Xenopus tropicalis: one gene and its partner. The protein of the gene in region 1 interacts with the protein of each later gene in a biochemical or structural test. Links are inferred from orthologs where the notes say so. Each region holds a gene or a part of one and is shown in the gene's direction. Other genes may lie near its edges. The genes, in order: sorbs1 and flot1.

Region 1 (4,466 bases):
CCCACCAGCTAGAATGTGAATCACTGGTGGGATGGCATACGTGGCGCCGCGATTTGCCGAAGTCGCAGAAGTTTCCTCTCAAGGCAACTTCCACGACTTCGGCAAATCGCTGCGTCGCGTATGCCATCCCACCGGCGATTTACATTCTAGCCGGTGGGATGGCATTTCAGGGAGATTAGACGCCCGCGACAAGGGAGATTTGTCGCGCAGTGACTCATCTCCCTGTGTGTCATAGCCCTAAATGTCGCCCAAACTGGCCTTCATGCCAATCACTTGGGCCCTGTCCTGTGGTTTCAGAACATCTGGCACCCCATGCCAATCACTTGGGCCCTGTCCTATGGTTTCAGAATATCTGGCACCCCATGCCAATCACTTGGGCCCTGTCCTATGGTTTCAGAACATCTGGCACCCCATGCCAATCACTTGGGCCCTGTCCTATGGTTTCAGAACATCTGGCACCCCATGCCCAGCACTTGGGACCCTGTCCTATGGTTTTTGAACATCTGGTCTAACCTGATATGTGAGTAAATAATCAAACTGGGAAGACTTTATATATTACAGGGCCACTATTACATTACTACATTGCGTAAGGGACCATGTTTTGAAGAAAAGCAATTATTAAGGAATTGTAAAGAATTGGCAGCTCCTTCTGATTCTTCAATGCACACAACAAGCTGTGGTCACATAAGTTATAGTTTGCTTCAAGGAAATGAATAAAAATATATAATAACCAGAATTATTTTTTAATTATAAAATACACTTAACTTACACTATACTGAAAAACTACTTTTTCTGGTACCTATAAGTTCTTGGTCTTTGCTTTTCTGGCCACCTGGGATTCATCCTTCATGCGATTTCATTGTTTTACCTACATGCTTACCAACTGAATTGCACAAGGAATTTCCTATGCGAATAGGCTATTGCCCTACCTTGATGGACATTATTGGTGAACTGGAATTTTCTTGGGCACATAGTAATGGGAAAATGTTATGGAAGAAAATATAAAAAAATGTTTAGACTAATACCAGACAGGACTAATTTCTGGCCTGTGGTTAAACGTGGTTAAACGTTTATCCGCAGCCCGGTTTGGCATTATCCTTAGGTTGTGTAGTTAAGGTGCCTGGCAATGCAGGAAGACTGGTAGCTTGTGTTGAGCAACAACTGGAGAGCTTTGTACTTTTTTGTGATCTAATCTTTTTTCATGAATAGTCCCTTATGATGCCGGTTCCTAGGACAACTGCCATTTCTGATCATCCCTAAAACTAGCCCTAACAAAGGTCACAGAGGAGGCTTACCTTTTTTGCTATCCCACAGAGCTTGTATTATTTATACAGATCTCTTTTCTCATGTATGTTGTGGTCGGCTACATTAGAGAGAGGTTATTATTGAAAGATATTTTACACCTTTTTTTCCCTTTCGTCTGTTTGATGTTAACGTCAAATGGAATGTTATGCTGCTGAAAGGGCTGGTGCATTGTAAAGCAGCCAGTGACATCACTAAGAAACAAAGCTAATTTAAGCTTCAAGGAGGGTGGGTACGGAGTAGATATTTAAATGTACAGAGGGAGGAGAAGCTTGTCAAAGACACTTTTCATTTTGTGAAGCTCAGACGTTTTCTTTAAACTCGCGGTTAAATAGTTTGAAACATGCGGCACAAGCAGATCACAACCTTTAAAGAGGAGTATATCGAAAGGTAAGGATCTGGAATGAAGGAAATTAAACTTTGCTTGTCAAATACAGAGCTTTTTGACTCAGGAATGTCTCCATACTGCAATTCTTCTTTAAGAAGATATGTTGCAGCTTATCATGGTGCAGTGTTTCCTAATGGTGACAGTCTATATTCACTTTCTATGTGGATGTTGTGGTTGCTGGGAGTTTTAATTGAAGATCCTTCCATATTGCAATGTCTAGATCTGTGATTAACACTAAGTTTGCTTAACGGAACAGTCAATAAACAAGACCAAGTGGGTTTTCTGATCAAAGAAAGTCATAGAATTACCTGAAACAAGTGCTAAAATTGCGTGATCCTCTTGACATCACACAGACTTCACATTAAAACAAACTCTTTAATCATGTTAATACCCCTGTGTTGTAGCCTTAAGAGAGACTCCTATGACAGCTGTGTAGCAGTTGCAGTTGTGGTGTGGTTCACAGATGTTTGTTAGATTAGCATGTGGTAAGTGCTAAACAGGCCACTGAAACATTTCCAGATTTGAAGAGTAATATGTGTTGCATTATTAGGAAAAAAAAAGGCAGTCAAAATCCATAATGTTTAACGATAAGCATGTTTTGTGTTTGGTTTTAGTAGGTGATGTTGTTAAAAAGACCTAAAAATATATAACGCTTTGAATTCTTAGAGATCTTCTTTCATAGTTCTTTGTTTTGACTTGGCTGCCTTAAAGAAAGCAAATCTCCCCTTTATTGAAGTAAGTTAGCAGTACTGAACGACTGCATGTACCACTGTGGGTATCAGTTGGTCATAACTTTTTGTAATTTTTGTTCAGGGTCATTGCCCCGCAACAACCAAAAATTGTTTCCCTACGAGGCTACATTGGTTATTGTTATTTTTCACTGCTTATCTTTTTATTTATGTTTTCAGCTATTCACTTTCCAGTCTGTCATTTGAACCTCTACCTGGTTGGACCCTAGCAACCAGGTAGCTGGCAAAAATCCAAACTGGAGACCTTCTGAGCAAAAAGCTAACTAATTCAAAATCTAAAAATGATAAAAAAAAATGAAAAACAATTGTATATTGTCTTAAAATGTCTGTCTACACCATGCTAAAAGTCACATTTTATTTTTGTTGAAACTGCATTTTTTCAATTGCAAATTTCAGTTATTCCTATGCCAGGTTAGGGCAGCTTTTAGACACGTTCATATGAATGTTCTTGTTTTGCTTGCTGGGAAACAAGTCATGTCCATCATGCTTCCTATCTCTGTGTCATATTTACTATGCTTCCTATACCAACCCCTGTAATATCAGCACATATTTTCAAGCTTTCACAGGTTGACTTAACTACGGATGATTGATTATTGTACATTTATTTATTTGAGCTTAGAGGACTTTGATCTTATGGCTGATGATTATTGCAAGTGCTGGTATGGAATTTACTATCAGAAAAACAGCATTGCTATTCTGTCTGCATAAGCATTTTTATATGATAAGACAGTATCTTGTATCTAATGTTACCTGAGCTATCATAAATCATAATTTTGATATTTTAAAGGCATGGTTCACCTTTAAATTAACTTTTAGTACATTCTGAGACAATTTGCAACTGGTTTGCTCATTTTGTCTCTACATAGAGAAGAATACCTAAACTGGTGATACTTCTTCAAATCGCTTATCGCTCCGAATCGCCATGAGATCCTTTTTCGAGCGATTTTACAAAGAAAGCATTGTCATTCAAAACTATTGGAATCGCTGAAAGTAAAACCAACTAGGTGTGAAGTTGCTGCGATTTCCCCATTGCACTGAATGTAATTTCTAATTGTGGGAGAGGAATATGACACCTTTGTGGGAAATAGAATCACTCCGTTGTGGAAATCTGTAGTAATTGCTTGTTAGGAAAATATGAGCGACTTTTAAAAATCGCAGCGACAAAATCTCCCCATGGGACATTAGCCTAAATGGTGACTTTCTATTGCATCTTACAGCAGCCCCACTGGCATTTGCCAGAACCAGATTGCCAGTCCAGGCCTGGTTGCAAGGTTCCAGTATACCCTAGCTACCAGACTGTGGTTTAAATGTGAGACTCGAATATGAATAGGGGAGAGGCTTGAATAGAAAGATAAGTAGCAAAAGCAGCAATAACAATAAAACTGTAGCCTTACATAGAAATAGATTTTTGGCTGCTGCGGTCAGTAACCCCAAAATGACAGCTAGAACGAAGTAGAGGACAATTTTAAAAGTATAAAAAAATTAGGGTAAATTGAAATCTTGTAATTAGGGTAAATTGAAATGTTGTTAAGTATATAACATATTATAATGGAAATTGGAACCATTGTGAGGAATGTTGATTTACAAGCTAGTGTATTGTGGGTTCAGAATATTTTTTTGCAGGGGGCCCACAGATTGTCTTATTCCCCTGCTAATAGCCTTAAGGCACTGTGCTCCTTGACGTCTTATCCAAAACCCCAGTTCCCAAGAACTCCAGATATATTTCATACCTGTGCCAGAATAATTTTATTGGAACAGGGATTCTTAACCTATTTGTCCCCAAAATGGGCTATGCACTATCTCCCTAATTACACTGACAGAGAACTTAACATATCTGTATGAAAATGTTCATGTAATTTTAAACAAATCAAGATATTCAATGATCATCAGCAACCTGGGAGAAGTGACTTTAGCTTTGCTAATCACGCTATCATAATTTGCTGACTTGGAAATGAGCAATGCAAAAGAAACTTTGTCTGCCCAGACTGCACATGAGCACAATTAGCAGCATATTACTTATCTACCTG
Region 2 (4,615 bases), on another chromosome or scaffold:
TCTTTATGGGACAGTGAGATTGTAGAAAGCCCTGCTGGGTGATGTTGCGATGGCAGATTCAATATATGCTTTTAAGAGTAGCTTCTTAAACAAACTTCAAATGTGTTCCCACCAGCAAAAATGTAAAACGCTGGTAGGAAAACATTCAGGGCTCTTGCGAGGCAACTTCCAAAAAATGAAACGCTGCTTATGTTTTGCTACCAGCAATGGGGGGAAGCATTGACAGAGATTAGTTGCCTGTGGTAGTGAAGATTTATTGCAGATGACTACTATATCTCCTTGTGTGCCAGTACCTTTAGGCTAATGTCAGACAAGGCATCTGGCATATATTTTAGGCAAAATCGCTTGCCGAAAATATCGCCTTCCACCTCCTACCTGTGCCTGCACTCAAATGAATGAGATACGCTCAGGTGCAGGCACATGTAGCCAATATCTGCATAGAAACACAAGTCTTTGCATTCTCTCGCGTTTTTATGTGTATTCCGGCCTGCACCCAAGCGTATCTCATTAATTTGGGTGCAGGCACAGGTAGGAGGCGGATGGTGATATTTTCAGCTTTCCGAAAATACACGCCAGGCGCTTTGTCTGACATTAGCCTTAGACCTACAGTTAGATAGTGCTATATATAGTAATGTTGTTAGGTATTGATATACTGTATATAGTTATACATGTTAGTGCATAGATAGGTGTGTACTGTATATGCATGTGTATATATGTGCACTGGGGTTTATTTAGAGGTGTTGAACTTCATGGACTTTTTTCAACCCTGCTTACTGTGCACCCAGAATTCGCTGCAGGACTTTGGAAGATTTCAGGAGAATACTGCTGGGGGACGGGAGACCGGGGGAGAGCCATCAAAGTCTGGTAACCCCAGAACAAATAGAGGGGGTTGACAGCGCTGCTGCTTAGCTATGTAAAGGTGACCATACAGGGGCCCATGAAAGTTGTTGACAGTCAGCAGTTTATTGGCTGTGTATGGGCCCTCAGATGTGGTCCTTGTCCTGCCTGTGTACTGTCACTCTGATCCAGCTGTTTGGCCTTCGGGCCAAATGATCAAATCAAACTAATATTGCCCACCTTTACTATGTGAATAAAGCCCCAAATGCCCCATACAAGCTAATGCACCATGTGGCGTTATAGCATAAATTAAATCTAGAGCAAAATTGCCCTGGTACGACCCCTTGTGCTTACAAGTATTGTGAAAATTTCAGCAAATATTACATGCTTATTTAATTTACATGATTTGTGTGGTCACATGAAATATATTGCGCCATGCACAGTGGTAAGACTGTTACTACAGATTTGCTGCATTATGGAGTGATATATTAATAAATGCGTTTTGTATATTTCTGTGTATGCAGCGTTCCGTGTTGGCTGTGTTCTGTAAGAGTTACACGTTAGAACAATTCCGCATCTCTCGGCCTTGAGCCTGCCAATGCGACAGGTGGCGCTAACTTGCTGAGGTGAGTGGGGGGATTGGCTCTATAGTTAGTGAAGAGAAGGGGAGTGCTGGGGGGGGGGGGACGGTAGACGAGGAGGAATAGGGTGGAGTCGAGAGGCGAGAAAGGAAAACACAAGCAAAAGGGAGGGTGGAAAAATTAGGAAATAAAGCTCAAATTGCGACATACTAATAAGGTTACGGAAAAGCCGAGAGGAGCTTACATCTAAGAGTCAAGGTGCGGTTTACTGAGTTAATATTTTGTCTGTTTCGGGTACAATACTTCTAATCGCTAATACCTAAATGTCTGTGCAACATCCGTGCATCGTGTATGTATGTATCCAGTTAATTGTGCTTCCTGGCGAGTCACGCATACAGTGTAGCTTTTACTGCTGCCGCTATGGGTGTGTGTAAGCTAAATATACATTTAGTAGCTAATTATGTTTCTTTATTTAGAGAGCTAATATAAGTTGTAAACATATGCCCTTTGCTAGGAGGAGACCTGCCTGTAGCCTCTGTATCTCCTGTTTGTTTCCCGTAATATGTTAATAATATCCATGCATTAAATAATACGTGCTGGGGAGCGTTACAGGGCATGGCACATTCAATAATCCATCGCATTAGTGGCAAATTGTGATTTTAAACATACCTGTTTTCTTTAAAATATTCATTATGTTTTACATCCATGGGCTATATCCACTTACATTTTATATTGTAGATGAGGTCAAAAATAAAATGTTCCTTTTGCTGTCTATAAGGCTTATTGTGCATTAACCAATTTACTGCTGTTGGTGCAGAACCTCCCTGTTAGCGGATTGCAGGCAAGTGATAGATTGCACAACTGCACTGCATATACTAACCATCACACAGATTATTTTGTGAAAGGAAATTGTGATATTTGCTGTCGCTTCATATGTGAACTGTATTTTTGGCTGATATTAATGTTTAAGAAAAAAAATGTCCCTTTGGGAATAGAAAGTACGTTTCTAATGTGTAAAAACCGTAAAAGGGCTATGCAGTAGCATTTGGTGTAGGCGTTGGTTGTTCTGAGGGAGCCGGTATAAAGCTGAAAATTGATATACAGTAGTTGCTTGAATTTTCTTATTACAATTGTTTTTACACCTGTGGGTTTTCCTTGCCTTCACTTGTTGATGGGAGTAGTTTAGTTTCTTGTACTGTTATCTCTAGATATGCACTAATTGCCGGGTTCGGTTTGAAATTCTGCCAGATCCAAGACTTTTTCTTGCAGGATTTTGGTTCAGCTGAATCTAAATGCCCGACAAACCAAATCTTCGCTTTTAAGGTAGTCATATACAGGCAGATTTCAGTGTGTGGAATGAAAGATTTTAGGACAATCCCAAGTCAACTGGATGAATGTAATTGTGAGAATTAGATTTTGTCAGATGGTTTGAGTAAATAAGGGGCAGTTGCTTTTGTATGTGGGTGATATGGATAACTTTTTACCTATGTATTACATCTTTCCTTATATTACATTTTGTTTTAAGATCAGAAACCATGTATTATATAAACTGTGCTGTAAAAGGGGATATCGGGAATTTTTAAAGGAGACATATCCTATAAAAATTATGAATGTACCAGTGAATTATACTCCTAGATATAGTAGGATTGTGCTTAAAAAAAGTTGTGTTTCTGACTGATTTATTGAGAAATTCCACAAAAACCCCACTAACCCCGCCCATCTGTTCCACTTCCTGCTGGCTGAATTCTCTGGATGAGCTGGGGAGCCGGCGGCCCTCCGTACCCTGCACTGTGGGATAGGAACCAATCCGCAGCTAGGCTGACCTGATAGGGAACTAAAGCCTGTCTTTGCTTGTGTGAGTGCAGGGCTGTGATTGGCTCTCCCCCTCCTACTGTGCTTCTGGCAGGGACCGTTAGGACACTCCCACTCTTCATTTCAAACTCGGACAGAGAAGTGATAGGATCTATAGGGTGCTCCAATAAAGGGGCCATTGTTACAGATAGGGTTAATGTTTAGCCCAAAGGGAAACCAGCACCGGATATTATTCATAATTGCCTACAAAATTACCTTTTTTTCCCATTTATCCAATATGTCTCCTTTAAAATACTTTTCACATCATTATAAGCTCCCCACAGGAAAGGGTTGGAAAATGTTGCTACAGTCTTCCACTGAATATTCTTTATCGCGGATGTTTTCCCTTTTTTCCAAAATATGGTGTTTCTGCCTGCACCCGGACTGAAGCAGTACTTCTGGGTGCAGGCACAATTTAAAGTTTTTTTAAGCGTAGGGTCAGATCCTCCTTGCTGCTCTGTGTGGCACTAGCCTTAAGGTGCCCATACATCTTCAGATCCGCTCGCTTGGGCCCTGGGGCCAAACGATCGAATTGTAATGACGGGTATAGGCAAAGTCAGTCCGGGGATCACACCAACGAGCCGATGTGGTCCCTGATCCGACTAGATTATTTAACCTGCCCGATGGTAGTGCCCATACATGGGCTGATTAGCTGCAGAATCGGTCTAAGGGACCGATATCGGCAGCTAGAATTGGCCCGTGTATGGGGACCTTTATGCCCAGTGCTGCAGATTTGGTGGAGGTCAACATCTTGATAACACACACACATACATACTGTACATAATGTACATGTATAATCAACAAATCACTTACCAGAGTGAAGGATGCCTTTTAACATCAAATGGGCTTGGGATGTCACATCATGAATTTTTTTTTTTTTTACCTTGAATGTTTCTTGTTTTCTGTGCATTCAGATAGTTATGCTCATATCTATAATCTGTCATTTTGCTTTCCATTTATATTTTGTTACTCTTTTCACAGATGGTGTTTTATACATGCGGCCCTAATGAAGCTATGGTGGTATCAGGTACAGTTTTTTTTTACGTGAGCGTTTTGTAATATAGGCTGTGGATGCCTGTAGAATAGAGGAGCCAGCACAGCTTACACAATTTTAGTCTTTGTGTTTAACACACCACTAAGTTTTGAAACGAGAATGACTAGCCCCTTGAACTAGTGGTTTCAGGATACTACAGTAGAGGGCAACAGAAACAAACTTCAGTTGGTTTGTGCTGGGTGTTTGCAGTACTAAAAATTAAAAATGTTTGCCTCTTAAGCTGGCCATACACGTGGCGATCTAACGATGTTGTGTGCAACCATCGGTCGCACAAAACATTGTCAGATCCGCC

The links.
Region 2: the proteins of sorbs1 (region 1) and flot1 form a complex in vitro, tested with the Homo sapiens proteins (2 studies listed by BioGRID). The link is inferred for Xenopus tropicalis from reciprocal best matches to the Homo sapiens genes SORBS1 and FLOT1.

Annotation. Positions count from the first base shown.
Region 1 is NC_030683.2:39,374,369-39,378,834, reverse strand, and holds the start of sorbs1 (sorbin and SH3 domain-containing protein 1), read left to right. Parts: upstream 1-1,592; 5' UTR 1,593-1,645; coding exon 1,646-1,692; intron 1,693-4,466. UniProt on the Homo sapiens protein: Plays a role in tyrosine phosphorylation of CBL by linking CBL to the insulin receptor. Required for insulin-stimulated glucose transport. Involved in formation of actin stress fibers and focal adhesions.
Region 2 is NC_030684.2:75,252,191-75,256,805, reverse strand, and holds the start of flot1 (flotillin-1), read left to right. Parts: upstream 1-1,566; 5' UTR 1,567-1,676; intron 1,677-4,250; coding exon 4,251-4,296; intron 4,297-4,615. UniProt on the Homo sapiens protein: May act as a scaffolding protein within caveolar membranes, functionally participating in formation of caveolae or caveolae-like vesicles.